4 linked regions of the Caenorhabditis elegans genome follow. The protein of the gene in region 1 purifies or fractionates together with the protein of each later gene. This does not show direct contact. Each region holds a gene or a part of one and is shown on either strand. Other genes may lie near its edges.

Region 1 (8,201 bases):
GTATCGAAATAAATCCAAATTTGACTTTTTTTGTTTCTCGAATTTTTCTTGTCTCAGCTTTGATTGTCAGTTAACTTTTCTTAAAAGAAAACAGTAAAAATAAATCAATATAAAAAATTGGGGAAAACACTCAAAAAGTTGAGTTTGTCTTGACGTGGAAATGAACGGAAGGCAAACATGGACACGGCCCTTGTTTGACACTTTCTTTCGCAATTTCTTCGCCTGACTGTTCATTGTGCATTAGAACAAAGGTCGAAGAGTTCATTGATCCAGATCTTTGGCGTTTTTTATTCGCAAAAATATAGAGAAGATTACTGATACTATAGGGTCAAAACCACTTCTATTTCAAAAAATTTAGAATTTAAACAAATCTTCAAAAGCCAAAAAAAAAAAAAAAAAAGAAATACATTTCCTGTGTACCAACTGAAATCACAACACCCTATTCCACGTGTGTGAAAGTTTAACTATAGACCAGGAAAAACTACATCGACACAGACTGTAAAAGGAAGGAATTATATATTCGGTTGCTTGTCTCGTTGTTCCCATTGTTCCAACGAGGAGAGGGAATAAAAAGTGGCAAGAAAGAATGAGATTTGTTATTATTTTATTATTCGAATGTGAAATGTAGGTGGATAAAATAAAAGTGGTGAAATTCAAATATATCTGAATAATTCAGAAAACTAATTTCTAATACCAAGCTGGTCCACTAATCAATGATAAGCAAATAAAGTGAACTGTTAAGACAATACGGACCGCATGGGAAAGTAAGCAAAGCAGAGCTATACTCAGAGAGACGCAGACACATATACAGAACACAGTACATGTAGATGGACACGTCGATTTTCTTTTCCGTTTTGCGCCAAATATTCATCGGATGAGAACGGGTGTTTAGAGGGGAAGACAACGGAAAATATCACAGGGATTTCGGAGGGAGAAGCATTGAAGAATATTGCAAAGAGCTTATGTTTGTACAGGCGGACAGAGACTATTGCAGTTGCATCAGTAGATACAGTGGAAACATTTTGAAATTAAAATCCACGTGGGAAATCTAACAAAAATTAGAAAATATAACTTTTTTCCACTTCCACGATTTTCAAGGAGGTGCATTTATTTTAGAATGGTCTCGCCACGCATTGCGAACTAACCTAACAAATTAAGGCGCGCCTTTAAGATTACTGATTTTGTTAGCAATTCTTTATCGATTTTTCTCGATTTCCAAACATAAAAATTGGATTTTTTCCGATTTTCGATATTTTCGGCTAATATATACAACTAAATCAAAAGAATATAATAAGAAAGAAACCGGCATTTTGTTGGCGATTCTAATCTAAATGTTCGTGCGATTAGGGAAAAGATGTTTTATGAATTTATTGCGTGTAAGAAAGCGGGTAGACAAGGTCGAACAATTTATAGAGGTTCTTCCCTCCGCCACGTTTGGAATTAGTTATGAGTGGAGGTCACTTTAAACTGGAATTGGTTATTTTGAAAAAGAATTATGGAAATCTCGAAAAAGTTAATAAATTCTTTTTCAGATTTTTTTAAAGTTAATAATGAGAAGTAATTGAAAATTGAATAAAGATTAAAATATGAATAATGAAAATCGAAAATCATTATTTCAAGAATTTCAGTAAGTATAAAAATTCAAATTATGAACTTATTTATCAAAAAAAAAAGGACCCGCAAATACATTAAACAATTTAGACACCTCGTCGATTAATGGATAGATCTTGATGTGGAGTTGTGACAGACATCGGACGAAAGTTTATTGCAATATTTTGAAGTTCAGGGCGAGTCTGTGGAATTTGACAGGAATCCTGAAACAAAATTTTTAGAACACAAGTATGACGTTGTAAATACCTTACCAATGAAATATTTTGATATGTGGGCGTTTGCACTTGTCGTGAGTGTGAAGTTCTGAAGTTTCAAAATTAAAATAATAAAAATCAGCTTACTATCAGAATTAAAAGTTTGATGTTTATCAATAATTCCAGAATGTTTTATGCTAAACTTTTCGGCACTTTTTTTGTAAACTCACAATTTTCTGACTAACACGATTGGCCGTTTGAATTTCAAGTTGGCGAACTTCATAACTTCTACTTCTGCTTCTCTCTCCCATTCGTGAACTCGATCTTTAGTTACCTCTGGCTGCAAAATGTTTTTTAACCTTTTCAATTCTCAAAGATAAAATAAATACTCCATCTCTACATATCAGAAAAATTTGTTTGAATGCTTCTCGGGCGGCTGTCTCTTTTTTGGGATCGTATTCCTTGAATAGCTGAAAATATATAAATTTTTAAAAAAATGTTTATATTGCTCCATACCGTAACTTCATCTTTCGGATGTCTTGTACTCAAATGAAAACGACCTTCTTCTTCAGTGTAAAATCCATCTTTTTTACAATGAAAACAACGGTAGGGGCGATATCTTAATGTTTGAAGTTTTATGAATGCTCAAAAATTTTATTTACATATTTAGTTAAATAATTTGAATTGAAATTCTTACTTTAAATGTGTGCAGAGAACGTGATATTCGAATCCCCTCCAAGTTTTAATAATCGCGTTGCAGTGACAACAATAAGGCAATGCTTTGTGTTCTAAAATGCAAATTTTAAATAGTTGAATTGAAAAAAATTAAACTCACGACTCAAAATATCATCTTTTTCATCCAGATATCGATCGCTCAGGTGTGTTGGATGTGCTTGCATTGTTATTGGAACAACAAAATTCGAACCTGACTAAGAAATGCATTTTTCTTTCGTTTTTTTTAGTGGAGTTGGGGAAAATTTTCATCTCAAACTCAATTTTTCTCACCCTGTGTATAGTCTGCATTCCATTTTTCTTTGCAGATTCCGCGACGGCTACCGTCGTTTCTCGACTTGTCCGTAAACGGTTGTTCCGATGATTTTGTGAGTGGAGGTTATGCGTTTTTTCTGTAAAAAAAGCTTTGCAGAATATTCTTCCATTTTTCATTTTTTCTTTTTTTTTTGAGGGAGAATTCGTTTGAATTGTTTCCTGAAAATTTAATTCCAAGAATTCCAGATTACCGTCGTCAACAGGCTTCCAATTTGACATCGATGCTTGCGATGGATCAATTGTTTTGTTGATCATCTGAAATTGTCAGAAATTATGTTTTTATGAGACAGAAGGAGAGAGAAGGCTTAAAATAACAAAAAAAAACGTTTTATTGAAAAATAATTGAAAAAAAACACTCACTATTCCCTCATTTCCAGATTTTAGGTATCGAAAATCTAATCTATCCTCATTCATCTTTCGCTGGGTTAATATAAACAATAAATTGAGCTTTTAATTTTCTAGTTCATGAGACTGAAAATGGCGAGTGCACAGTTCTGATCGAATAGTGCGCCTGCTAAGAAACGCGCCAACACTGGGTGCTTGACACGCAAAATTGTGGGAATTTGAATTTTAACGAAAATATTTTTCAGTTTTGAACTATTTAATTGATTTAAACAAATATTTTGAACGTTTTTTTGGAAATTGGAAACAAAAACAAAAATATTTCATACCGTGTTTTTAAAGGCGCAGAGTTCCCACATTTTGAAGGGTCTCGCATCGAAATTGAATTCAAAATCTGTTTGTGGCGCGAAACTTTTGTTTCGGAACATGTGAACATTTTCATTTTGCAATTTCTTCTCTTTTCTAAATATCGCCCCCTTTTCTAATCACTGAAATTTCAGAATGTCGGGACGAGATCTCGAACTAACTCTCGATAGAGTATCCAGCATAGAATACCCGGCACTGGTGAAAGAGGCCTTTCTGAATAGTGAGTCGAAAAATGATCAAACAGAAATTTCTCAACTGATTTAGATTGGCACGCTTCAGCTCATCGATCCGAGGTGACTTCAAATTGTGCATCACTCAATGACAGGTACTGCTGGGTTCTGTCTCGAAATCAAATTTTCATTTGGGAGCGGGCGAAGGTGAGATTTAAAAAATAACAATTCTCGAATTAAATTGAACTTTCAGTCGAGCCATCGTGCTATAATCCCCACTCAGCTTCCGTTGCCGACCAGTGGCCTTCCTCGCTCAGTAAAGTGCGTTGTTGTATATGATGGAGTCCACCGTGGTGCAAACAAAACCCCGTGTCCAGGAATTCTCGTTGTCTCACCTGAAGGAGTTCTTCGACATTGGACTTCAATTGAATCTCAAACATACATTGAAGAAGTTTTGGATATCAATAACGAGGTTGCTCTGCGGGTGGAATTGACTGATGAGCCGATCGATGGAAAATCAGCTTCTTTCCTACTGACAACTACATCAGGAACTGTCTATTTTTTGAATGGAAAAGGGCAAGATTCGGCAAAAACGGGTGCATTGGAATGCAATAAAGTAGCTGGTCGAGAAGCACATGGATTCAGAAGACGTCTTTCTTCAATAATGTTCGGAGGAGAATCCAAGGAATCTACGTCACTAATTACGAACAGTTTCCAACATCAATCCAAAGATTTACTGGTTGTAACAGTGTCTCCAGATGTTCTGACAGTTTATAATATGTACACACCATGTGAACTTTGGTCACTGAAAACCAAGGAATTTTTCCAACCAAAGATTGCATCGTTTTTCGAAGCGGACTTGAAGGTTTGCATTTTGCAACTTAAAAATAATAAGTGAATTTCTCAAAATATGAGAATGCTTCAGAGAACTCCACTGAAAGTCCGAGCGAGGTTGATTGATGCAGCAGTCTTCCGAGATGGTCTGATGATTCTAATCGGTGGAACTCATGAAGAGTCTCAATCTGTTCACATGTTCATGGTCTGGATGAGTGCTAACTGGCAAACAGAGCAACCCACCGGAGTAGTTTGGTCAGCAAGAGTTCCAATGAATGAGCATCGCGCCCTTTTTTCGAAGATTGACGATTCGATCTACTCTAATCTGACGTTGTGTATTCCCAAGAATACTGCAGAGTCGAAAAAGGCTGATAGAACAGATGGAATCATTATCATCAATCCCTACTTTGGTACTACATAACAAAATTAATTTAATTTTTGATGATATTTTTCAGCGGTATCTCTATACCTTCCATTCGATTTGGCCAAACCGAAAAAACCGGAAAGTCTATACCGTCATGTTTCCATTCCACCCCGAGATCAACTTCTAGGATATGCAATTTGCTCACAATATGTCTATATTATGATGCTAGAATCCGGTGTCTCTACAATTCGTCTTCTACCACGTGGATTTGCAGACAGCTCGATCTATACACATGAGCAAGTCGTCGTACCATCTCTGTCAGTAGGCACTGATGATTGGCCAATTTTAAGCGAACTCTTGTCTGAAATGGTTGCATCTGGACTTCCGAAGACTCCACTTTATCAATCATTGCATCGGGCTTTCGAGCTTTTCGCAGAAAAACATATGGCAGAGTCGGAAGAGGAATTAAAGGCGATTATCAAAATGCCAGATCAGGAAATTGCTCGTATTGTTTCTCAATTTCTCTACGCAATAATTGATTATTCGGATGCTGCCAACAAAACTGACACTGAACTCCACGCGAAGCGAGTGTTGACATCCAGAATCATGCTTTTCCTGAAGCATATGGGAGTGTATGAAAGAATCATAAGCTCACCCCTGGGAATCAGCAGAGGAGGAATCTTATCGCTACGTGTCGGAGGAACAATGCTGGGAGAAGTAAAAATTTACACTTAGAAAAATAAACTTATTTTCTGAATTTTCAGGTCTCCGAACGTGTCGCTGCATCAACGGCCATATGGACGTGGAAAACTTCAAACGAAACAAATTCTGCAGTTTTCGACGCAATCATCGAGAAAGTTTTGAGAATTCCAGAAGTCCAGGATTTAGGTCTGAAAGATAAAGATGCTCTATTCGGTCGATGTGGACTAGTTCATCATATTCCTGTTGTTGCTGCTCAACAATTGGAAAAAAATGTGATCGGAAAGACGAAATCACACAGATTCGAAGTGTTTCACGCTGTATGTGAACTTCTTTCTGGTATCAAAGAAACTATTATCAGTTGGAGAAAGTATGTTTTGATTTGTTAACAGACTTTAACCATTTGTATGAAAGTTGCAGAACGAAAGTTGCTATTCCTAAGTTCCCTATTTGGTGGACTCTCGAAACTTTTGCATCTTGTTATCGTGATGTTGCTGAAAAGATCATTGAGGAATTGAAAAATGGATCATCTACTGATAGTGAGAGAGCAAGACTTTTGATGTATATTTTGAGGTAAGAAAGGAAATTTTCTGCTTCGAATATTTCCAAATTAATAAATTTTAGCATCTACGATTTCTACCTGTCTGAAAGTGACTCTCAACCAGACAACGACAAAGTTTTGCAAGAAATGATCGCTCTTGGAAAGCCAGCAGACGCTATGGAACTGGCAGAGAAACACAAGGACTTTGGAACGTTAGTCAAAAATTATCTAACGACTGATGTTGGCACTCGGCAGAAGACTTTTGAAAGATACAAGAAGATGTTCGAAAAAGACGATTTCGAGATGTATCTATGTGATTATCTGAAAGAGCATGGACGAAATGATGTACTTTTGCAACAAGGTGGAAGTCGAGTGGATGCTTATTTGGATAACTTCAAAGAATTAAGATATTCAAGAGAAATTGCAAATAAACAGTTCGGAAAGGCGGCCCTCACTTTGATGAGTCTTGCTGATGCAGAAACTAAGAGCTTCTCAAAATTTGTCGAGTTTCTAACAAGAGCATATTATTGTGCATGTTCCAGTATCGATGGAACAGATGTTTCAGAGGTTCTCGACTTCTACAAACGACGATATCCGGAGATGAAGCATCGTAAACGTATTCCGACCGAAATATTGAAAATATGCTTCGGCAACGATTTGGATGCGATGATGTCTGTGGAAGATATGCTCGAATGGAATATGGCTGTCCAGCCGAATGATGAAGCTTCGGTTGAAGGGTTCGCAAGAGCATTCCATTTGTTAGCTGATCTTCTTGCTGTGCATCCGGATTCGGATGAATTGAAAAAGAAAATTGATAAGACGTGGAAAGCATTAGTGGATTATGACGAGTGGAACCGGGTTAGAAGCAAAGAAGATGTGGAGAAAAAGACAATTTTCGGAAAATTCTGCAACTATTTGATCAATTCGTATCCTGCTGACAGTAAGTATCAACAGAAAAAAAAACATGAACAAAAATTCATTTTACAGAAGGTGATTCTTTCCCAATTTGGATGCCAATATCTCGTCGTCTGATCTTCCCAACCGATATCGACACAGTTCTCGATGAATGTATCGCGAATACGACTGGAAATCATCTTTCATGGATCAAAGGTCATCTGAAATGGATTGGAGAGCAACTTTGTAAACAGGCTCTTCTACCAAAATCGGCATTCTTCCGTCCGGATATGAAACAAGTTGGATCGATTTCTCAAGCAGCTCTCGAAGCATTCGGTCCGATTTTACAACGAAGAGAACAACGATTTATTGATCAGTTGAATCGTGATTCGATGATGGAGACTTGATTATTTTATATTCTTCATTTTTTGTTTTGTTTTTTATTTTACCATTTTTCCCGATTTGTATATGATCTCCACGGTTGTTATTATTATTATTTTTCAAGTTTTTTTACCTAACTTATTGATTTTTATACATATCTTTAACGTGATGTTTCCCGTATAAAATCAGAGCTCTTTTTTATCTTAAAGTTTTACTAAAACCGAACATCGTAACTTATTCGATGAAAATTTTACTTATTGTTCTCAAATATATTTTCTCAACGAGTAAGTCGGTCTCGAGCAATCAGGTGTTTCATTTTGTTGTTTTTAAGGTCTCTGTGCCAACTGTTTTTGTGATTGTTTACTCAAAAACTACTAAACTTTAGAAGTAAATTTGTTTCAATTTTGGCAAATCCCCGATATCGAGCCCGATTCCTTTTTTAAACTGAAATTGTTTAGATTTCGCAATCACATAGAAATTATTGAAAAATTCGAAATTTCACGAAAAAATGTAATATGCTCACATTTTCCAAAACTTTATTTCCATGTAATTCAAAGTAACTTTTATTTTTCGGGAAAATTCGAAAGAAATTAATTCTGCGAAATTATTTTGTTTTCGAAAATTATCAGAATCTCAACAAACATGTTCAAAAGATTTTTCTGATTTTCCGAATTTAATTTAGTTTTTAGCAGTGAAATTCAATTAAAAAAACTGGTTATTTTCGTAAAAGTTTTCATAATTGTCATTTTCTTATCATC
Region 2 (9,545 bases), on another chromosome or scaffold:
CCATTTAAATCGTCCAAAAAGTGTTAAATCTGTATTCAGCTAGCTAAGAGCTTCAATTTAAGTATAATCATGACTAGGTTTCCTTCACTTTGGGTCCCACAGCGAAAATGCAAAGGGTACTGTAGATTTTCGCTGCGAGACCCAAAGTGAAGGGAACCTAGGCGTGATTATACTTAAATGAAAGCTCTCGTTGTGCTGAATTTGAATTTAAGGTTGGAAATTGCTAAAAATCAACATTTTTAGAAAAATTTAGAAAAAAAAATTAGAATTTTTTTCAATTTTTTTTCAAAATTTCAAAATTCAAAATTGCTCCAATTTTCAGCGTAATCCCCCTTATCCAACCAATTATCACAATATACTACATAAAACCGTATAACCATGGTTTCCGACGTCTATTCTGCCGCTGGATGGTCCGGCCAATTCCTACGAAATCTCTGACTACTGTATATGGGGAACGCGAGACGCGATACTCGTCGACGAGATATGATTGATTTTTTCTTAATTAACCCTTTTTTTAATGTTTTAATAAATAATAAAATTTGAAAATAAAAATTAAAAAAGTCGAAATTTTTTTGTACTTTTTCAAAAAAATTTTTTTTGAAATTTTGAGTTTCAACTTCAAAAAAGAACAATAAAACCTATTAAGGCAAACTGATAAAGTTGAAAACCGCCCCCGTGGGTCGAACCCCGGTCTTCTCAGTCTCACCGAGACCTCTACCCAGTTGAGCCACCACGTCCCATTTTTCAAAAATGACCCGATATTGGCATCAAATTATCTAAAAATTAAGCGAGAAATTCAAAAATTTGAATGAAAATTCATGAAAATCACATTTTCATTTACTTTTTGGACATTTTTCCGCAAAAAAATGACACAAAACCCAAACTATTCGAGATTATTTCTAATTTCTAACAAATTTCGGTCAACTTCCGCTAGATAATAGTATCAACCAAGAAAAAAATTATTCCCAGCACGCGGGGTCGAACCCCGGTCTTCTGCGTCCCAGCCCAGCCCGTTGCCGCCTGCGCTACTGCAACCAATTTTTCGAAAAATCCTCGGAAATGAGCCAATATTGGTGTCAAATAAACGAAAATTGTGCGAGAAATTTGAACATGTGCATGGAAATTTGTAAAAATCATGTTTTCAAAAACTGTTCCGCATTTTTCCGAAAAAAAACTGATTTTTTTCAAGTTTCACTAGTTTCCAGCAGGTTATACTCAGTTTCAGCTTGTTAACAGTATCAATCACGCTAAGATAAAGAAAATTCCCACCACGCGGAGTCGAACCCCGGTCTTCTGCGTCCCAGCCCAGCCCGTAACCGACTGCGCTACTGCGACCAATTTTTCAAAAATAAGAGAAAATCTGAATTTAGTCGAAAAAAATCAATAAATAAATAAAACTTCATCCCGGTTTCGCATTAGTTTTTTGAGAGAGAAAAAGAAGGAAAATCATAAAATATCTGGATTCGGAGAAGTAAATGAGGAAAAAAATCAATAATAACAGGTACATATACAAGTTTTAAGAGGAATTATGGGTGTAGAAACAGCGAAAAAAAATAAATAATTTATTTATCTCTGAGCTCCCGGAGCTCCGACCGCTTGGCTCATTCCCTCGCGTTCCTTATTGTCACGTGGCACTTTGATCCATTGTCCCTGAAGATTTTCGCGCCAAATTGTGATCTGCAAAATTGGAAAATGAGCGTTTTTAGGCGTAGGTGCCTGCCTGCCTGCAAACAGAGCTTATCATATGCTTTTTTTTGTAGAAACGGCACTTTTTTAAGAAGATTTGCCTACCTACCTGTAGGCACGGTAGGCACACGTGTAGGCATTAGGCAGGCGGGAACATTTCGTCTGGTTTTTCGTAATTCTAGGTCGAATTTTTCAGAATTTTCGTTGAAATTCAATTAATTCCGGTGATTTGATCGGAAAATTCGAATTTTTCGCCATTTTCAGTAAAATTACTGCAAATTCTGAATTTTTGAGTATTTTTTTTCCATTTATTCAGATTTTTCGTGCCAAAATGCTTTTTTTGCAAGTTTTCGGTAGCTTTTTCTCAAATTTTTCATAAAAATTGAAATTTTCATGTGCTGCTCAAAAATCGATACTTTTCAACCGAAATTCGCCGGTTTTTATGTAAAAAAAATTGATTTTGAAGTGATTTTGGCCAATTTTCCGGTAAAAAAAATTTTTTGTTTTCCCACTTTTTTGCCAGTTCTCAATAGATTTTTTTTTCCAAAATTTTGAATTTTCCAGGTTTTGCTCGAAAATTAATATTTTTAGCATTTTTCGATCAAAATCACCTGAAAAAATCGAATTTCAACGAAAATTCTGAAAAATTCTTCCTAAAATTACGAAAAACCGGGCAAAAAAGATAGAAGTTGTATTAAAACCAAAAAAAAAAAAAAAAAAAAAATCAAAATTTTCCTCACAAAAACCTGCCACCTGCCTCATGCCTACTGCGGCTAGAGGTAGGTAAGATTTTTTTCCGTTTTTTTTAATGCCAAAATGCTTTTTTTTTTCGCTATTTTTTCCAAATTTTTTCGAATTTTCTAGGTTTTGCTCGAAAAATCATAATTTTGAGCTAAAAAATCCAAAATTTCAGCGATTTTTGCTAAAAATGTGACAATTTTCCGTTTTTGAAGCGATGATTTTCGCTGTTTTTGTACACTTTTTTTTTTCAAAAATTGTGCCATTTTTGACGTAAAAAATCCATAATTTTCCCAATTTCGGTGCCAATTTCCACATTATTCCACACAAAAATCCTCGATTCCATACCACATTATCATCGCCAGCAACTGAAAGGAATGATCCACACGGAGAAAATGATGAATGGTACAATGCACACGGAGCCGTCTCCAATAATTTCGCCTTCCACTCTTCAGTTTCAATATTTGAAGTACGGAAAAGTACCAAATTTCCCTCCATTCCACAGCTAACAATTGTATGTTGTCCATTATTTGTTACCGGGCACCATGCGGCTTCACGTACAAAATCTGTGTGTCCGGCTAGGGTTTTCTCGAGAATCCATTCGTTTGTAGCGTCGTCACTGGAGGAAAAAATATTGGTGATTTCGAAGGAAAATTGTCATTAAGAAAATGAATTTTTCTTAGGAAACCCCAATAACACTGCAACTTTTTCCTCACGAGGGACGAGGAAAAGTGGTTTCTAGGCCATGGCCGAGGGGCCGACAAGTTTCAGCGGCCATTTATCTTGCTTTGTTTTCCGCGTGTTTTCTTTTGTTTTTCACAGCTTTTTCCCGTTTTTTCTTATTAAAACTGATAAATAAATATTTTTTGCAGATGCTAAAACAATTTCCAAGTTAAAAAATTATGTATCCAGTGGGCAAGCAGCGGTGAAAGTGGGCAATGTAAAATGATGGATTACGGGAATACAAAACCTAAACTTTTTCTGAAACATGATACATATGCTGCTTAAATGCTGAGACTACCTGATTTTCATAACGAGTCCGCTGAAAAAGTTTTGAGGTTTCCACAATTCAACTTTTTTGGTAAAAAAGTCGAGATTTTCGCACAAAAAATTGAATTTTGAAAACCTCAAAACTTTTTTAACGGTCTCGTTATGAAAATCAGGTAATTTCAGCATCTAAGCATCATATGTATCATGTTTCAGAAAAAGTTTAGGTTTTGTATTCCCGTAATCCATCATTTTACATTGCCCACTTTCACCGCTGCTTGCCCACTGAATACATTTTTTTTTTACTTGGAAATCGTTTTAGCATCTGCAAAAAATATTTATTTATCAGTTTTAATAAGAAAAAACGAAAAAAATCGATGAAAAACAAAAGAAAACAGGCGGAAAACAAAGCAAGATAAATGGCCGCTGAAACTTGTCGGCCCCTCGGCCATGGCCTAGAAACCACTTTTCCTCGTCCCTCGTGAGGAAAAAGTTGCAGTGAGAAACCCCAATAAATTCGACAAAATTCAGTGGGAAATCAGCTTTTGGGCAGCTTCAAAATTGGGATTTTCCAAAGCGAACCCAAATTTCTGCATTATAATGGGGAAATTTTTTTTTTTTTTTCGAATTTTCACCAACAATTTTGTTTGTAGCGCGTCGTCACTGTAAAAAAATGGGTAATTTCGCGGAAAAATTGTCAAAAAATGGATTTTTCAAGAGGAAATTCAGGAAATTCGACAAAAATTTCGAAAGAATATACTTTTTTTCTGATTTTTCAGCAAAAAAGATTAATAAAAATTTCCGATTTTGGGGGTTTTTTGAAATGAAACTGCGAAAAATCTGGAATTTGAGAATTTTTTGCAAAAAAAACAGCTTTTGGGACAAATTTTCAAGTTTAAATTATTTTTTGAGTGATTTTTTCAGTTTTTTTTTAATCAAAAAACCGAAAAATTGGATGTTTCAGGGGGAAAATCCAGGAAATTCGACAAATATCTGTTAAAAAATATCCAAAACCTGGAAATTTTGAATTTAACACGATAATCTGAAATTCGGGTAGAATTCGCTTTTACTTTTACAATTTTTTAGAAAGAAATTTATTAAATGGTCGGATTTTTAGTCTTTTTTGATGGAAAACTGTGAAAAAATGGGTTATTTCACGGAAAAATTGTCAAAAAAAAGGATTTTTCAAAGGAAACTCTAGAAAAATCTGGAACTTTGGCGAAAAATTTCCATTTTTTCTCGTTTTTCGCGTCGTCACTGGCAAAATAATGGGATTTTTCAGGTGAAAATTTAAGAAATTTGAGAATTTTCGGTGAAAAAATACGCTATTGGGTCGAATTTTTAACTTTAACATTGTAAATTTTGAGAATTTCAGAAAAAAAAACAATTTTTTCATTGATTTTTCAGAAGGAAATTTTTTTTAATTCTGGAATTCAGGCTTAGGCTAAGGCTTAGGCCTTAAAAAAAATCCGAATTTAATTTTTATTTTGCGAATTTTTTCATCCCAGAAAAACTGACTTTTTCAGGGGAAAAATCTCAGAAATTCTTGTGATTTTAGCAAAAAATCAGGTAATTTTGAGGGAAAAATTTGAATTTTTCAAAAATTTCCGGTAAGAACTGCACTAATTTGTGATTTTTAAACAAATTTTGGATCAAAAATACAACTTTTTTGGGAAAATTTCATAAAATCTGCCAATTTTGCTGAAAAAAAAGTAAAATTTTACGACTTTTTTTCCGAGAAGTTTTGGCAATTTGAGGCTTAGGCCTAGGCGTAGGCGTAGGCTTAAGCTTAGGCTTAGGCTTACAAAAAATCTGACTTTTGAGAACCTGAGAAAATTGCGGTTTTTGTATTTTCCATCGAAAAAACGTCAAAATTTCACGTTTTTCGGGTCAAAAAAAATCTAAAAAATCTAAAAAATCGATTTTCAGTGCATTTTCTCTACTCACAAAGCCCAAATCTTGACATTTTTATCATTTCCAGCTGAAACAAGACGTTTTTTTGCCGCCGGATCAGCACTTCCAGGTGCCCAACACACTGAATTAACTCCTTGTTCATGACATTTCTGAATTTTCGACGAAATCCATTCGTTGCTCGAATTGTCGTATCGAAGAATACCGATATCACCGTCAGCAGAGGCAGAAGCCAACATTAGGCCATATTGGTGTGGTGCAAAGGCCACACAAGTCGTACTGGCCTCATGAGCGGCCCATTCGTAGGCTTTTTGCCAGCGGCCTTGTTGTTCGTTCCAGATTATCACTTTTCTGGAAAGAAAATCGATTCATTTGGGGGAAAATTGGCTGAAAATCTGTGAAAATTGATGAAAAATGCCTGAAATTAGAGCAAAATGAGCTAAAAATTGCAAAAAACCCGTGAAAAACTACTGAAATTCATGGAAATTCCAGAAAAAAACGTTGGATTGGGGGGTAAATTGGCTCAAAATTCCGAAAAAAAAACTATGAAAATTGAATAAAATCGATAAAAATTACAAAAATCGGGGCAGAAATCGACTAAAATTCGGGAAAAAATTGCAGAAAATCGGTAAAAATTTCATAAAACCCGTTGAAGTTTTTAAAATTTTGGTGGATTTGAGGGAAATTAGGCTTGAAATTCAAAAAAAAACTGTGAAAATTGACCGAAAATACTGATTTTTCTTTAAATAATCCGTGAATTTAAAGGGAAAATAGCGTAAAATCGGTGAAAAATGATCAAACTCATTGAAATTTCAGAAATAGGCTGCATTTTTCAATATTTGTGTCCATTTTCTTCCAAAATCACTCTGTTTAACCAATTTTTGGCAAAAAACCCAAAAAATGAGCTGAAAACCGATTAAAAACAGAGATTTTAGCGTATTTTTATGAAATTCTGATCGAATCTAGCAAATTTTGATCATTTTTCCGTTTTTTTTTCCAAATATTCCGTACTTATCATAGGAAGCGGAGGCAAGAAGTCCTCCATATTTCGGATGAGCCCATGAGACTTTCCAAACGGGACCACTGTGTCCGACAAGCTCCGCCATCGGATATGACTGGCCATTTGGGCGAACCTGTAATATTTTTATATTTTTTTTTGCGTTGAAATTATGAAAATTCTGGGATTTTTGCAGAAAATCCAAGATTTTTCGCCTTTCCTGACCTCAAAAATCTTCACAAGACGGTCAGATCCACACGTGGCGAGTCGGCTTCCGTAGATGTTGAGCTGAGCGTCGTGCTGCAATTTTTCAGAATTTAAAAAAAAAAAATAGATTTTCTTAGCTAAAATTCAGATTTTCCGACTTACAATTGCGTCACGATGTTGTGTATCGATTCTCTGGCGGACCGTGGTCATTTTTCAGCTGAAAATCTAGAAATTTCGAAAAAAATCGCTAAAAATTGAGTGAATTTCGGCAAAAATTGAATTTAAAAATTGCAAGTTGGAACGATCGAGAAACGCGTCAACACGAGAAACGCGCCAGCAAACGATAGCTGGCGTGTTTCTCGTGCGCCAAGGAACGTGGATTTAATCACGAGAAAATAATAATTGATGGAAACCTGGAGAATTCGAATGGGAAATTGTTGATAATTTGATAAAAATAACAATTTCTAGTTCTACTTTTTAAGATTTTAAATCAAAAACAACTCAGGGAACCTTTCAACACAGATTAAAAGATCAAAGTTCTGAAAAACAACTTTCTTAATTATATTGTCCTTGTTTTTTCTTCTGTTTTGATTTTTTCTTCTGATCATCAATATCAACACGCCGTACTTTGAAGTCTGAAAAAAAGATTCAAATGAAAAAAAAACACATTATATTTTGTGCTTAGCCTCCGTGTGTCTTATTGCGGGTCGCGTGACGTCGTCAGCGCAATTTTTACGATCATTTCTTTCTGTCATGATCATCAGTTTGATTTTCTAGCGTGATTTGGAGGCGAAAATCAATAAATTATAATAGTTTTTCGCTTATTCCTGTTTTAAAACATGTTTTCTATATTTTTATTGAGAAACTTGAGATTTTTAAAAAGAAAACTTTAAAACCCGCTTGTATTTTTGCAATTATCTTATTTTTTTCAATTTCTTCGCTGAAATACTTGAAAAATTGCAATTTTTGCTGAAAATAATTCCAAAAAGTGTGCGCGGCAAGTAAAATGCATTGTACGCAATTGCGTATCAATGCATCTAACCCGACGCGCAGTTTCAAGGTTACTGTAGAACATTTTGTTTTTTTTTGTGTTTTCCCCAATTTCCAGCCGAAAAACTCGAATTTTATGTGTTTTCCAACGTTTTTTAAAATGTTTTTTTTTGTAAAAATTTTAGAAAGTCAGCAAAGTTAACGTTTCTATCGAAAAATCCAGTTAAAAATCAAAAAATTATCGATTTTTCGGATTAATTTGGAAATTCAATCGAAAATGAACTATTTGAGGAAATTCTGGCAGTTTTTGCGGAAAAAAATTGAAAATTGACAGAAAAGTCGATATTCTAACAGAGTTTTCACGCAAAATCTAAAAATGTTGAATTATTTTTCGATAGAATTTCGGGGTTTTAAAAATTTTTAGGACAAAAATCAATAATTTCCAGAATTTTTTTGAAAAAAGTTTCGAAAAATAATAGTTTCAAGAAGCATCAAAATCGTAAGTTTCAGTTTTTTTCAAATTTCCGATAAAAATCCCCAAAAAGTAAAAAAAAATTTTTTTTTGAAAAAATCTGTTATTTGTGCCGAAAAATCATTAAAGCAAATATAAGAAAACTATTATTTATCTAAATTCTTATAGAAAATCCAATTTTTTTTATAGAAAAATCAAATTTAAAGAAAAAAAAAATCAATAATTTCCCCCAAAAGAATCCTGCCACCCCAAAAATTATCAACAGAGCACAATTGCATCATATTCCATAAAAAATATCATTTGGCACACTGCCAAGTCTTCATCACACCAACATCTCTGCACTCTCCACATCTCTGAACCCCCTTCTTTCAGTGTCTGCGTCTCCACACCCTCTACACTCTCTCACCCTGGCTGAGGTCCTCTTTCTCTTCAATTCTGCACGTGCGGACTGCCCTTTTTATTGTTTTTCTCCTTTCTGCCACTTGATTTGATAGATAAATTATCAAAAAATCGATAATTTTAAATTTTTTGCGAGAAAGTTGGAAAATTCCAGAAATTTTCCAAAAAAATCCCTGTAAATTTGTTAAAGTACATAGTTTTTCCGAAGAAAATCGACAAATCTCGGAAATTCGAGGTTTTTAACCGAAAAACACTGCAACTTTTTCCTCACGAGGGACGAGGAATAGTGGTAGGGGCCGACAAGTTTCAGCGGTCATTTATCTTGCTTTGTTTTCCGCCTGTTTTCTTTTATTTTTTCACAGATTTTTCCCGTTTTTTTCTTATTAAAACTGATAAATAAATATTTTTTGCAGATGCTAAAACAATTTCCAAGTTAAAAAATTGTGTATTCAGTCGGCAAGTAGCGGTGAAAGTGGGCAATGCAATATGATGGATTACGGGAATACAAAACCTAAACTTTTTCTGAAACATGATACATATGCTGCTTAAATGCTGAAATTACCTGATTTTCATAACGAGACCGCTGAAAAAGTTTTGAGGTTTTCAAAATTCAATTTTTTGTGCGAAAATCTCGACTTTTTTACCAAAAAAGTTGAATTGTGGAAACCTCAAAACTTTTTCAGCGGTCTCGTTATGAAAATCAGGTAATTTCAGCATCTAAGCATCATATGTATCATGTTTCAGAAAAAGTTTAGGTTTTGTATTCCCGTAATCCATTATTTTACATTGACCACTTTCATCGCTGCTTGCCCACTGAATACATAATTTTTTTACATGGAAATTGTTTTAGCATCTGCAAAAAATATTTATTTATCAGTTTTATTAAGAAAAAACGAAAAAAATCGATGAAAAACGAAAGAAAACAGGCGGAAAACAAAGCAAGATAAATGGCCGCTGAAACTTGTCGGCCCCTCGGCCATGGCCTAGAAACCACTTTTCCTCGTCCCTCGTGAGGAAAAAGTTGCAGTGAAAAATAGGCATTTTTCAAATTTTGAACGTTTTTCTTTTTAAAAAATTGTTTTTTCGCACCGGAAATCTTGAAAACACGCTATTTTTATAATTTTTTAACGATTTTTTTGCAAAAACTCAAAAATATCA
Region 3 (6,982 bases), on another chromosome or scaffold:
GAACACATAACACGAATATGAATGAATGGATGAATGAGATTTAGAGGAGGGATTGCGACAAGTTCAGTGTAAACATTAGAAGGAATGGGCTGTGATGACCCGAGAAACGGCCGCTCCTCCCGTCTCCGCCGAAGCACCAGATACCATCTTCAACGGCCCGAACGAGGAGCCTCTTGATACTATTCTCTCGTGCCCTTTCAATAAGAAAGAGGCACGAGACGGCAGACACTTTTTGCTGCCTTTTTTGCCGTGTTGGACCACCCCAAAAACAGCACGATTAGGAGGAATTGTGAGAGGAGCGCGAAAGGAGAGAAGCCGAGAGATAGGCGGAGAAGAAGAGGAATAGAGAAACTAGGGAGACGACACGTGGAGCTCGACTCTTTCATTTCAATTTAAACATAAAATTAATTTCCTTCCTACTAGCAGGTCAGGTGTTAAAACAATAAATACACCTCATAACTTTTTAGCCTTTGAAAAATTGATAACGGCATACGGTTCTAATTTCCGGCTGGCGCATCACTGACCAACATCAGGACGAAAATTCTGTGAACCGATTCATCAAAAAATGTCTGAATACGTTGCAAGAAAGTGAAAATAGAAAGATCTCCGGCCAACTGATAACTGATAGCAGTTGGCTGACAAAGGTCAACTTTTAAATTTCTGCCCCACCGTTGCAGATATAAAATATTTGAAGGGAAAATGTTAGATTTGAGATCAAAGCACAAGCGACACGTCCAGCATTGAGAACAGTAAATTTGCATGAGAATATAGAAAAATTTTCTGCGAAAAAGCTGACGTTAAATATACGTTGCGTAGCGGTGAGAATGCAGATAAGGGGTCAACGAACAAAACAATAAGGAGAACACATCGAAAATCAAAAGATAATGAAGAGAACGACTCGCCTTTATAGACATTTTGCCGCCATTTGTTTTAATGAACTCTGCTCTTTCTTTTTTCGAGAACGATCGAAAGATCATCAAAACACAGTGTGTAGTTTGATGCCGCGGGTCTCGCAACGCTCCGGTTGAGACAGGTGTGCGCCTTTAAGTATACGGTAGGTGAGAATCCTCACTGAGGATATTTTCAGGCATGGAAATTTTCAAATTAAATGAAGAAAATATCTAAATCAAAATTTAAACCATCAACCTCTGCACAGAAAATTTTTCCTTTCCAAATATACATGGTAGTCTTGCGTCAGATCGGTAATATAGATCTTCCGCAATCTGATGACCTCTTCTTGAAGAAGATCTTCACGTGAAACCCACAGAAATCAGAAAAATTTGTTATTTTCAAATACTGCACGGATACAATCGTGTCTGTGAAAGATCGACCGGAAATTTAAAAAAAATGAGAAAGAAGTCAGAAATATAGTGATAAAAAATGGTAATCAAAACAGGTATCAAACAAAAAAACAATGAAATAAAAATTATTCGACTTTGAGATTGAGTTCTGCGTAGAAAGCTTTGATGAAAACCATCCATTCCTGATCGAGCCCGAGGTCATTATTGAAGCTTGTGAAGAAATCGTTGAAATTTGTGGTATCGTCGAGTCTCACGGCGGCTTGTGCAAGAAGGATGAAGAATTGCGGGAGGAAGAGATTCCGAATCTCCTGAATTTCTTTCCGGTGTACACGCATTGGATCTCCATTAGCACGTGGGCTCAAAAAGTACTCCGGGCGCACACCAATATTGTTAACCAGCCCACGGAGCATCGGAAGAACAGTCTGAAATTTCAATTTTTTAAAATTTTTTTCACAACAATTTATTCTAAAAATCCTACATCTAAATGTTGTTGAACCATTCCAACTCGCGTATTATGCTCGGCGGCTCTCTTTTTGAGCACCTCTTCCCGCAGAGTTTGCTCAGCACGAGCTCGGACTCTCAGTGAAGCTTCCCAGTCAGCAGCTGTGGTGTTGTCGAGTCGTTTGACTCCTCCGATCATGGAAAGCTCATCATCAGTGATCGGTGTGTACTTGAACATGAGCCCAAGTTTCAGAGCAATAGTGATCATGAAGTTGTTCACATCCTGAAAATTCGGATTTTAAAATGGCCAATATGAAATTGAATATTATTCAGCAGCGAAATTTTGAGTACGGGGTCTCGACACGACAAATTTTTGTTCAATACGAGACGGTTTGCACCTTTAAAGATTACTGTAATTTTAACCAGTGGTTAAAGATTCCGCTGATTTGGATAAGAAATCATACCACGAAAGAGCAGAGCCCATAAAATTCCAGAGCCGCGTGTTCGATTTTATTAATTGCCAGCTGCGATCCAGGTTTTTGCTCAAACAGGGTTCCATCAGTGATCAGTGAAAGTACAGTTGCTTCATTTTCAACAGCTTGTGACAATAGCTTAGGAACTTCGAAATGAAGCGCTTTTCGAATAATTTGCCTAATTACAGACTCGTCAATCGGTGTCGACAGCATCACTTTACGAACTAGTCGATTACATTCTTCAAGAGCAGCCAGTGCAGTCTCTTCTCCACCTATCAAAAGCCAATGCCAGTGATCAATCTGCTCTTCCAAAGTTACAACCTTCGTTTTGTCATCTTTTCTGATTTGCTCAATAAGTGTGCACGCACAGCGTCCGAAATCAATGTCAGATTGTTTCAGCGACTCAGCCAGGATTTCACGTTCTTCATCAGAATCGACAGCTGAAAAGAGAATTTTTTTAAAAATCATCATCAGTTTTTAAATTACCTTTCATAGTCTCCACAATCTCTGGAAGCTTCATATCTTCTGGGAGGAATCTTGAATAAAATGCAGCCATTTTCTTGTGTGATGAGGTTCCACTGCGTGCACGAAGATCATCGAATCCAAGAATAATTACAGCATTTCCATCGTCATTTGGTTCGAAACCACTCGCATAAGAAACTGCGACGAGGTGGAAGAAGATGTCGAGTGCGAGCATGTTCACTTGACAATTTTTATCATTTGGAACAAATTCTCCGACTGTTTCATTTGCGAACTTGTACAGATCTTCAATGTCATCATTGAGCATGTCATCGATCACTCGGAGTAGGATGTATACTTCTTTGGTACGATCAGCCTCTGATCTCAGCTCATCTAAGATTGATTTTGAAGTTAGTGGAACGTTGAACAACGTCGAAATAGTTTCCTGTGTCATGGCTCCCTCGGCGGCAAGAATTCTTGCGAGAACTGCAGAATTTGCATATGCCCATACTTTTTCAATCACTGACTTTCCAGCTTTTAGCATTGGTTGGATATTCCCACGAATCGCAGAAATCAGCATCCAGTAAGCATCATCTTCGCTCCCCTGCGATTGTTCTATCAATTTCTGTGTCATCTGGTAGTACTTTGCGCGTCGAGATCTTTTATATTCCCCAAAGTTCTGTTTAGATGCCTCTAGTGGAATATCAAGTGGGTTCCGGAGCATCGAGTGAAGCTGAAGTTGAGCTCCGATCGCTCCCATTCCTAGATCAATGGCTAAATTCGCAGCTTTGGAAGTTTCTCCACTTCGAATTAATTGGAAGAAAACGTTCATCGCCATTTGCTCGAGAGCTTGATCTTCTTTGGTACCAGGAGCATCTGGATCCAGTGAAGCATCTTTTGGAGCATTGGCTGCTCCAAATGTTGGTCGTTTCAAAGCCATCATTGAATTGATTCTAGAAGATTTGATTCCTTCGAGTTTCCGAACTTTGTCTCCAAGACCTTTTTCATATTGCTGTTCGCTGATCGCTTTCTCACTCCAAAGAAGAAGAGCCTAAAAAATTAGAAATTATGTGTTTAATTGAATAAAAAGTCTAAGATCTTACATAAATCCTTCTAAACTCCACATCTTCTACAACTAGTTTGCTAAGCAAAGAAACTTCCACAGTCTCATCATATTCATGAGCCAACGCGGTATAAATTGAAAGAACACTGGCGATTTGCACGGCTTCATTCGCGTATTTTTGTGAACTGGCGGAATAATTAGATCCTGCAGGAAGTTTTCGAGTCTGCATTTCTACTTCTGAATAGATCTGAAAAAATATTACATTTATCAGAGGCCTTTTTCAAGTGAATCAAACCTCATGAAGTCTGGTCCACATAAGTGGCGAGATTTGCCCTTGAGGAATATCGAACTCTCCGAAAGCCAATGCACATAATTCGTGGTACAGTTTTTCTGAGAGATTTGTGTGAACTGCAAATTATATATTTTTAAAATAGTTTTCCTTTCGCATCGAGTGTTAAACTCACAAATTGTAGTGTATTTGAAAGCGGTTTCATTTTTGCGCGCGATTTCATCGTTAGAGTCGTCGAAGGAGTTGGAAGAATTGTCCCCCGAAGCGAACAAGTCTGTCATTGTGCTAAAAATATTTTTTTAAAGGAAAATAAAGTTTTAAAAACTACATGAAACAGAAAAAAAAATCGTTTTACACGACGAAAACCCTTCGAAATTTGAAAATTTTTGCTTAAACGAAAATAATGGTAGTGCGCTCCATTGAGAACACAATGCGCGGACTTTCAAAAAAGAGGGGTTTATTCAGGTTTTCATAACTTTTTTGAAACACAGAAATGGAAGAAATTGCAATTTGAAACTTTTCCGAGTAGTGCCTTTCATCTTCAAATTGTTTAATAAGGTGCAATCAGCTATAAAAAACAAAAATGAGAGCCGACGTTATGGGTTGATGAGAGCTCTTATTTTAAAGCACATCGTATTTTTGCGTTCCAGTAGCAGCTATCCTCTAAATCATCTGTTTTGTGTGCATTGTGACTGTCTATAAATCGATCAATACGTGCTCCTACGCTTGCGTTTGCTACTTACATAAGGATATATTCTTTGAACCACATGTTTTGTGTGAATTGAGACTGTGTATAAGAATGTAAGGAGGAGAGGGGCCGTTCGTATCGTTCGTCTTATGCACAGGCTCAATGCACACAAAACAGGGTATATTGTATACTCAAATTAGAGAAAAACATATGGAGAGGACAATAGACCAAAGTTTTGATTTAATAACTAGAATGGAACCATTTCTGGAGCACTATTTCGTACGAAAAGCTTGCGGCTTTGTGCAATCAATCTCCTAGGACTTTGGCGGCCTGTCCATTTTTGTTATGTTCGAACAATTGAAAAAGTTATTTTTTTAAAAATTCAGGAGAATTCTATAAATTATTTAAAAAGTTATATTCAATATGTTGGACTGCTTTCTGTTTCTAGGGAAGAAACCTACACCTCCTCCTCTAAAAAGTCCTTATAAGGGGACTATAGACCAAAAAAAAGATTCCTTGTAAAAAAATGTTTGCCCTTTTTTGGTACTTCCTTCCTTGGGCTTCTCAAGTGTAATCCATCACATCAATTACACCAACCGACAAGAAAACCAAAAAAAAAAAACGAAAAGATGCTAGTTTTGCATGGGAGCCGTAGTGCACCTCTTCTTTTTCGTCTCTCTTTGTTTCTGCCTCTCCACTCCTTCACCCACTATTTCCAGCTCACCGAGCCATATTTAGTAGCTTCATATCTTTAGTTTATCAATCATATTTGTTAAAATTAATTTCGAGTATTTTCATCGCTAAATACCTGCTTTTCAAAATCGTCGCCACCTATTCCCAAAATCGATCACCGGATTTTTTTCTGCCGACTTCAGTTAAAAGACAACACAAAATGCAATGGTAAAAGGTGAGTTTGGAACAAGTTCTGCAAAAAAAACGAGAGAGAAGACCCCCGAAACTTGATAGTGTGGGAGAGGAGGAGCATAAGAAAGAAGAAAAAAAAGATGTATTGAATTTCGAACATCATGTTGAATTACAACAAAAAATACGCAGATATTTTCAACTTTTTGCGTTTATTAAAAAATTAATGCATATTTTCAAAATGTTTAAAGCCGCTGATAAACGTTCAGATTTAAATTAATGAAAATTTTTACAAATTTCTAATAGTATGCCAATTAAAAATCAATTAGTTTTAGGCTTTCCATTGAAAGTAAACTTTACAGAAAAATCTCAATTTGTACCATTTGGCTTTACATATATTTTTTCAGAGAACTATTGTTCCAGACGCGAACTTTTGAGCCAAAATTAAGGTATCTGGTCTCGACACGACAAATTTCTGAAAGTTAGTAAAGTGGTGTGCGCGTTTAAATAGTACACTGTAATTAATGTAATTTCAAACTGTCGCTGCTGTAGAATTTTCATCGATGTTTTATATGTATGTGTTTCTATTATTTTATTTCAATTTTTTTAAAAATAAATTTATTTTAAATTTGGTATCGAACAACTTCAAAAAGTCGATTAAAATAAAATCGCAGCAATGAGCCTCTGAAATTACAGTTCTATTTAAAGGCGAATGCTCTTCTGCATTTAACAGACATTTATCGTGTCGAGACCGTACCGTAATTACCGTAATTTTGGCGCCAAAATCGCAAAATTTGGCGTCTGGTTCATACGTCGATGTCCCATTTAATTTTCCCAAAAAAAACTATTCGGCCATTTTTTTCAAAATTCAAAACGGTGATACATGCTCAAAATGAACTATAAGTGTAAGTTCATTTAAAGCGTGAATTCGATTTATTTTCGTTTCATGCATCTCGTGTTTGGTATCTCTGGAGACTACACTGCGTGCTTTTAGAATAGATAATATCACTAAATTCACACACTTTTCATTTTTAAAAATTCCAAAATGCTCTGAAATATTTTTGATTTGTGATTTTACTAAAAGGTGTGCGCTACAACTTTGGTTGCTCATTCCTCGGCTGTTTTTTGTTTTTTTGGAAAACTGTCAATTGAAGAAATAATTTTCAATTCTTTTTCTATTTTTTTGTGATTATATGTTTATTGATATCTTCAAAAGAAAGCGAGATATACCCAATTGGGTACATCACTAATAAAAAATATATGGTAAACCATGGTATTTTAAAAAATTTCTTCGATTTTTCTCTTCTTGAAAACCATATTACGGTTGAATGTTCAATTTCAAAATTTAGAAACCAATATAGACATTACATACCAAAATTAAAATTTCTGATTGTGAGCAACTGTATT
Region 4 (6,191 bases), on another chromosome or scaffold:
TTAAAACATGTAGTAGCTCAGAAAACCCAATTCATGAAGTTCAATAAATAAAAAACCGTGTTAACAACCCTTCTAAAAACGTAAAACCTACAAAATGGCAATTATCGATTGCTCAATAATTTATCATTTGATAACAATGCACTTAACTGTCTAGTTTACAATAACACTTTGAAATATTGTTTGACCGGCACATTAGTCATCAAATGTACATAAAATAATGTTTAAATGTGTTCTTTTATTTTGTTCAGTCCATTATTACAACAGTCATCAATTATTTATTTTTTGCTATGCGGCGTGGCCGAGCAAAACTAATTCGGAAGGGAATTCTGACGTTGTACTAGAAATTGCAATGTTTCTGAATGTGTTGTGCACTGATGTTCCAAATACTGGTAGACTTTAACTACGTGGCCGTGGAAGCAGAAAACTCGGCCACAATCATAGAATGGAAACATTTTCTTATATTTTATTCGTACGTAGGTAGACAGGCATGAAGCAGACAGATAACAAACAAGCCGGCAAGGTCCAAAATAGGCGTATAGGCACGTAGGTAGGCATGAAAGGAATGTAGGCAAGTAAGTACGCATACAGGTAGGCATGCGGTGGGCAAGTAGGTAGGTAGGTAGGATAGGTACTTAGGTTGGCATGATCTAGGCAAGTCAGGCGAGAAGCATATAGTAGGCGAATAGTTAGGCAGGTATGAAGTAGGCGTGTAGAAACATATATAGGCATAAGGTTTGAGTGTAGGCAGGCAGGCATGACGTAGGCGTCGAACTGTTTCCGTTTACCTATGCTCATTCCAAATGACAAGTGAGATCTCCCAGCTTCATAGAAATTCAGATCATTCCATCAGTAGTATAATCCCCATTGACTCGTTTATTATAAAAACTCAGAGACCACTAATAAATAAGATGCAAATCTCATTTTAAAATGCTCTTTTTCATTCCGTTTTTTTTCTTTTGATTCGAAGGGAAATATAATTATGGAAATGGCCGAGAAATGTATATAGTGTTGTAAAGGAGCAACTTTGTCTTAAATATAGAATTTACAATTAATATTAATTTCGGTGGCCTGAGACAAAATGTGATTATGAAAATGTTGAGCTTTCAATTCTATTAGCGCTGCACACGTTTCCATTTTTAGAACTCATTAAAAATCTCAAAAGCATTGAGAAGAGATAGAGAAAAAAGAAAACATCATCATCATCATCAACACATCCTGTAGAGTGCTTTTAAAAGGAAAGAAGAGAGGAAGAAAAATGTGAAAAAGAAGCGTCGAGAGCAACTTGTTGAGTGAGTGAGGGGGGCACAGAAGGATCACATCCAATTAGGATTGAATGAATGCTGTCGTACACACAAGAAAGTGGAATGGAACGATGAGTAGAATAAAAAAAGAAAAATGATGGAAAGGGATGCACTTGGGACACATTGCCGAAAAAAAAACGAATCGTTGCTATAATGTTCTTCCGCTAGTCTTCATAGATCCCGTTGCCAGGTGACCTCGTCTCCAAAAACTTTCTTAAATTTCGAAATCGGAGAATGTGTACTCCACGAGAAGAAGAGTGTGCGAAAATTGCAAATTTTGCAACCTCCGCACGGTTATGAGAATGAGAGCTCAATGAACCTTGCGGAGGTTGCAAAATCTGCAAGTTCCGCACGGTTATGTGGGTGTGGCCAATACCATCGTTTTCTATTCTCAATTTCTGTTATTACGTGGTAGTCTAAAGATGAAAGTTTTCGGGTCTCACCACGCTGAAATTGGGTTACTGTAACTGGACCAATATTGTGCCATTTTTAATATTATATTCAAATTCTTGACAGCAATTTTCGATTAAATCTGAAAATTATGATACTATGCTACCCGTAAATGGAGACGAGTTACAGTAACTCGGCGTGGCGAGACCTAAGATTTTACGAAATTTTCCCAATTTTGACGTCTACGTAATAATTCCCTCTATCCCAAAATTTGTTTTGTAACAGTACGGAAATTGTAATTTCCGTACGGTTTTATGGGAATCACAGTTTGAAAGTTTCAGTTCAAAAATCAAAATCTCATCTTCTAAGAGGCGGGGCGAAAACACCAAATTTGACGCGCAAGTTTGACTACATCATCAGGTCGCCACTTCTGCTCCAGTCAGAACCAACCACATTTTCTGAAAATAAATTACATCCGGTTCGGTCCGAAAACTAATATTAAATACAATTTTCATTCAATTCATCATCTTTTGGTTTTTTTTCTTTCTCATTTTGACCAACCCGCAAATATTATACGACACAGGGGGCTATATAGTCGTGCGCGACGAAACATTTTTCTTTCCCAAAAAAGGAATGAATTCTCATTTTATTTGATGAAGAGGCGGGAAGAAGCTCTCCGAACGTTGTGCTCTGTGTGGTCAACAAAAAAAGGTCGACGACACAGAAAAGGAATTTAATTAAATGGGGGACCCCGTCGTCGTGCATTTCTCAATTTTCTCCGTTTTTTTTTGCAATTAAAACGAGGAGGAGTGAGAAGAAACGAGTGGTGCTCGTTGAAATTTGAAAACGAAAATTAGACGAGGGAGTAGGTCAAAGGGAAATAAAAACAAAAACATCTGAAATGTGTAATTAAATTTCTAGAATTTTTTAGAATTCAATATTTTATGGATAGGTATGTACTATAGGGGTCGGCGGTATTATACAGTAACCCATACACGAATTTCACTTTTTTCAGTGTCTAGTGTTGAAGAAAAAAAATCAAAGTTCAAACAGAAAATCGACTTCATCAAAATTACAAAACATCCGATCAGAGAAAAAAAATTTTCTCTTTATTTCCCGCAGAAAACCTCCCAGCAAACTTTCACCACAAAAACCCTATTTTAAACTCCCTCCATTTTCAAGTCCGCAATTGCGCGTAGCTTTGCGTGTTTTGTCGTTGCGGACTTTGATTTTTCAAACAAAAATGTTTTTTCTTGGAACTTTTCGAACCTGTTTTCCACTTTAAAAAAGCGGTATTTTTCAATTCTTTCTTTATTTTAAATTTGAAAAACTTGTTTATTGCTTAAATTTTTAATTAAAAAGCATTTTATTTCGAAATTCAGGCCATGTTCTCGCATCTTAACCAAAATACATCCGGAAGGCATAACTCAATGGATCTCAACAATTCTAGTATTTCAAAGTGAGTAATTTGTTTCTTATTTTGCAAAAAAAAAACCAGTTTTTAATACTAAAAATCTAATTTTAGCTTCGGGACACCAGTTGAACAGTCTACGCCGGCACTTCTTTTCGGAAAGCGAAAGGCAACTGTTCCATCTTCGTGTAAGTAAAGTTTATCTTAAGTTTTCTCAAAAATATGATAATTATTTAGACACCGCTAGCCCGCTCAACACTGCATCGGCACCATGTTCGGATATTTTCGCTGTTTCTGCACCGGCAGTGCCGCAGCATTTGAAGGATACACCGGGCTCTAAATCAGTTCATTGGTCTCCATCTTTGGTGCAATCTGGTGAAAAGTCGGCGGCACAAACACAGAATACACCTGCCAACTTGTCTTTCGGAGGAAATTCATCATTTTCGGCGCCGACAAAGCCAGCTCCTCAGTCGATTCAGACATCATCTTTCGGTGGTCAAGCGATGCATGGTTAGAATTTACATTTTTTCGCGAATATTTAAAATAAAATTGATTTTCAGCACCACCTCTTCGATCTCTTCGCGACAAAGTTGAACCAGCGAAAAAGATCTCCAGACGAAATACATTCACTGCCAGATCAACACCACTTTCCACTCCAATCACTCAACGAGTCACATCCAGGTTGGCTGAAGCAGAAGAACAACCAATGGAAGAAGAAGCCGACGCAGCTGATACCTGGGTCACTGTTTTTGGATTTCAGCCAAGCCAAGTGTCGATTTTGTTGAATTTATTCTCGCGGCACGGGGAAGTAGTTAGTCATCAGACTCCATCAAAAGGAAACTTCATACATATGCGCTATTCGTGTGTCACACACGCTCAACAAGCTATTTCTCGAAACGGAACTCTCCTCGATCAGGATACATTTATTGGAGTCGTTCAGTGCACAAATAAGGTAAGTAAAAAGGATATATTTATTTTTTATTTTAATTTTAAAATTTACAGGACGTGATCAACGGCTCAGCATCCGGAATTGTTGCTCGATCATCTAACATTGCTGCAGCTGCAAACCGATCTGCTTCCATGTATAACTCATTTGTGGAGAACGATATGGCCGATCAATCAGTTAATCACAATGAGAACAGTGTGCTCAACTCGTCGAATGTTTTTGATGCAAATAACTCGCTCAAGTATGATTAGAAATTTTTAGTAAAAAATTCATAAAAATCTAAATTTTATACTTGAATCTGCTAAAGCGAAGTTTGTAGTTTGTAGTCTAGCGCTACTCCACTTTGAAAATGTGAAAAAGAAAAAGTTAATTTTTCACAATTCAATTAATATTTCCACAAAAAATTGTTTATGTTTTCAGTTCTTCTCGTATTTCCGTCCGTTCTGGTGTCGGAATGAGACCATTGGCTGCCGATCAAAGAACAAACGTAAGCATTTCATTGATTCAATCCTTCTAACCAATTAAAAAAGATTTTACAGGGAACCCCATCGGTTCGCAAGGCACCTGACGGATTGCTCAACAAGTTCTGGAACACGATCGGACTCAACTAATCTTTTTGCTCATTGGAAATATCGCCCATTTTTCTGTTTTATTTCACCATTTTTTTCTTTTGTTGTGTATCCTTCTTTTTCGAATTTCTGAAAACAGTTTCGTTTCTCACGGTTTTTCGTTCTCAAAATAATTTTATTTATTTCGGTGTATTCTCAATTTTCGGACATTTTTCCTTCCCTTCTTCCCGTCCATTCCATTCCCATTCAAAACTGATTCTATGAATTGAAATGAAGAAAACTCATATTTTTATATTGTCGATTATAGAAGACGAGTTGCTAATACTCGAAAAAAATATTTTTTCAAAAAATGAGGCTTTATTGACTGAAAAACATCGATTAAACAAATTCACTTCTATGAGTTTAAAGAAGGGCGCATTATTGCAGAATGGTCTCGGCACGAATGACATTGAAAATTGTGTGTGGGTGTGTGCCTTTAAAAATACTGTAGAGATTCTTTTATCGATTTTTCTCATTTTCTTCAATTTTTAATTTCAGAAAATTATTTACAATCGATGAAGTTTTTTTTAAATTTAATTTTTTTTATAAAATTTAATTTTAAAAAACCCGTTAAAAAAAAATTATTCAAATAATTCTTTCAGTTCCCAATGAATCTTCCCCCAGACGCCCTCCACGAAAATGTGTACGCATTTGCTCTTGCACGAGATCAAGTCGAATCATATTGTAATCAATGCCTTACGAGTATGGCAGAACTCAAAAAGTGCAGCGCCTGCCGACGGCTTGCTTATTGCTCACAAGAATGTCAAAGAGCTGACTGGAAGCTGCATAAAGTGGAGTGTAAAGCTATTAAAGTAGGAGATTTCATGGTTATATTACAATTTATTTCTAATATTTTCATATTTCAGACTCATAATGAAGTTGCGAACGACTCGATTCGACTCGTAATGAGAATTGCCGGAAAGTTGAGCAGAAACGAAGATGGAGAAATAGAAGCCTACTATATTCCGGGTGTTGCTCGCAATTTTCAAAATCTCGAGCATCATCCATCATCATATGACGCCGATGAAGAGTCTTTTGTAAAAGAATACTTTCAATTTGCGATAGCTCCCCATCCAGATCGAGATTTGATCAAATTGATATTCCAAAAAGTTTCGATAAATAGTTTTGTAGTTGGAAACTCCACGGGAAATCCAATCGGTGTTGGATTGTGCATTAAGCTGAGCGCAGCTAATCATTCCTGCAAACCATTGACTCGAGTTTGTTATAGGTAAATGCCATGAAATTTTTAGATTTTTAGGTTTTTGCCGACCGGCGCCGGTCTCGCCACGACAAGTTTCGGTTAAATTCAATTTTTCGTAGTTTCTAGGTATAAAATATAGTTATTTAATGTTTTTTAAACTTTTATAAAACGATAAAAAAACATAACAAATCGTGAGAGAAACTATGAAAATCCAATTTTACAGAAATCGTACCGCAATGCTGGTTCCAGTTTCAAGTGAACTTCCTTCAACACTGGAAGGTGCTTGTCATTCTTATATAGACGAACTAATGCCAAGAGATATGAGAAGAGATAC

Evidence for each region.
Region 2: the proteins of npp-15 (region 1) and npp-20 fractionate together in Caenorhabditis elegans (co-fractionation; one large-scale study listed by BioGRID). This does not show direct contact.
Region 3: the proteins of npp-15 (region 1) and npp-5 fractionate together in Caenorhabditis elegans (co-fractionation; one large-scale study listed by BioGRID). This does not show direct contact.
Region 4: the proteins of npp-15 (region 1) and npp-19 fractionate together in Caenorhabditis elegans (co-fractionation; one large-scale study listed by BioGRID). This does not show direct contact.

Annotation. Positions count from the first base shown.
Region 1 is NC_003281.10:7,925,355-7,933,555, forward strand, and holds npp-15 (Nuclear pore complex protein 15), read left to right. Parts: upstream 1-3,688; 5' UTR 3,689-3,695; coding exon 3,696-3,780; intron 3,781-3,824; coding exon 3,825-3,937; intron 3,938-3,983; coding exon 3,984-4,595; intron 4,596-4,655; coding exon 4,656-4,974; intron 4,975-5,019; coding exon 5,020-5,645; intron 5,646-5,692; coding exon 5,693-5,997; intron 5,998-6,041; coding exon 6,042-6,200; intron 6,201-6,251; coding exon 6,252-7,108; intron 7,109-7,155; coding exon 7,156-7,469; 3' UTR 7,470-7,701; downstream 7,702-8,201. Other genes in the region: C29E4.13 (C2H2-type domain-containing protein), read right to left, coding at 1,698-1,814, 1,863-1,914, 2,036-2,145, 2,195-2,275, 2,322-2,424, 2,503-2,593, 2,641-2,734, 2,811-3,107. UniProt on the Caenorhabditis elegans protein: Important for early nematode development.
Region 2 is NC_003282.8:1,489,272-1,498,816, forward strand, and holds npp-20 (Protein SEC13 homolog), read right to left. Parts: upstream 6,752-9,545; 5' UTR 6,737-6,751; coding exon 6,689-6,736; intron 6,620-6,688; coding exon 6,545-6,619; intron 6,456-6,544; coding exon 6,334-6,455; intron 5,674-6,333; coding exon 5,359-5,673; intron 3,044-5,358; coding exon 2,773-3,043; intron 1,678-2,772; coding exon 1,567-1,677; 3' UTR 1,382-1,566; downstream 1-1,381. Other genes in the region: Y77E11A.16 (Serpentine Receptor, class D (Delta)), read left to right, coding at 323-491.
Region 3 is NC_003280.10:11,595,499-11,602,480, forward strand, and holds npp-5 (Nuclear pore complex protein 5), read right to left. Parts: upstream 4,312-6,982; 5' UTR 4,308-4,311; coding exon 4,202-4,307; intron 4,146-4,201; coding exon 4,033-4,145; intron 3,985-4,032; coding exon 3,778-3,984; intron 3,726-3,777; coding exon 2,702-3,725; intron 2,656-2,701; coding exon 2,207-2,655; intron 2,026-2,206; coding exon 1,780-2,025; intron 1,724-1,779; coding exon 1,427-1,723; 3' UTR 1,269-1,426; downstream 1-1,268. UniProt on the Caenorhabditis elegans protein: Involved in kinetochore assembly and chromosome segregation during embryonic mitosis.
Region 4 is NC_003280.10:10,795,362-10,801,552, reverse strand, and holds npp-19 (Nucleoporin NUP35), read left to right. Parts: upstream 1-3,073; 5' UTR 3,074-3,076; coding exon 3,077-3,150; intron 3,151-3,216; coding exon 3,217-3,290; intron 3,291-3,339; coding exon 3,340-3,612; intron 3,613-3,662; coding exon 3,663-4,054; intron 4,055-4,104; coding exon 4,105-4,289; intron 4,290-4,468; coding exon 4,469-4,535; intron 4,536-4,578; coding exon 4,579-4,659; 3' UTR 4,660-4,900; downstream 4,901-6,191. Other genes in the region: set-14 (SET domain-containing protein 14), read left to right, coding at 5,265-5,468, 5,523-5,884, 6,081-6,191.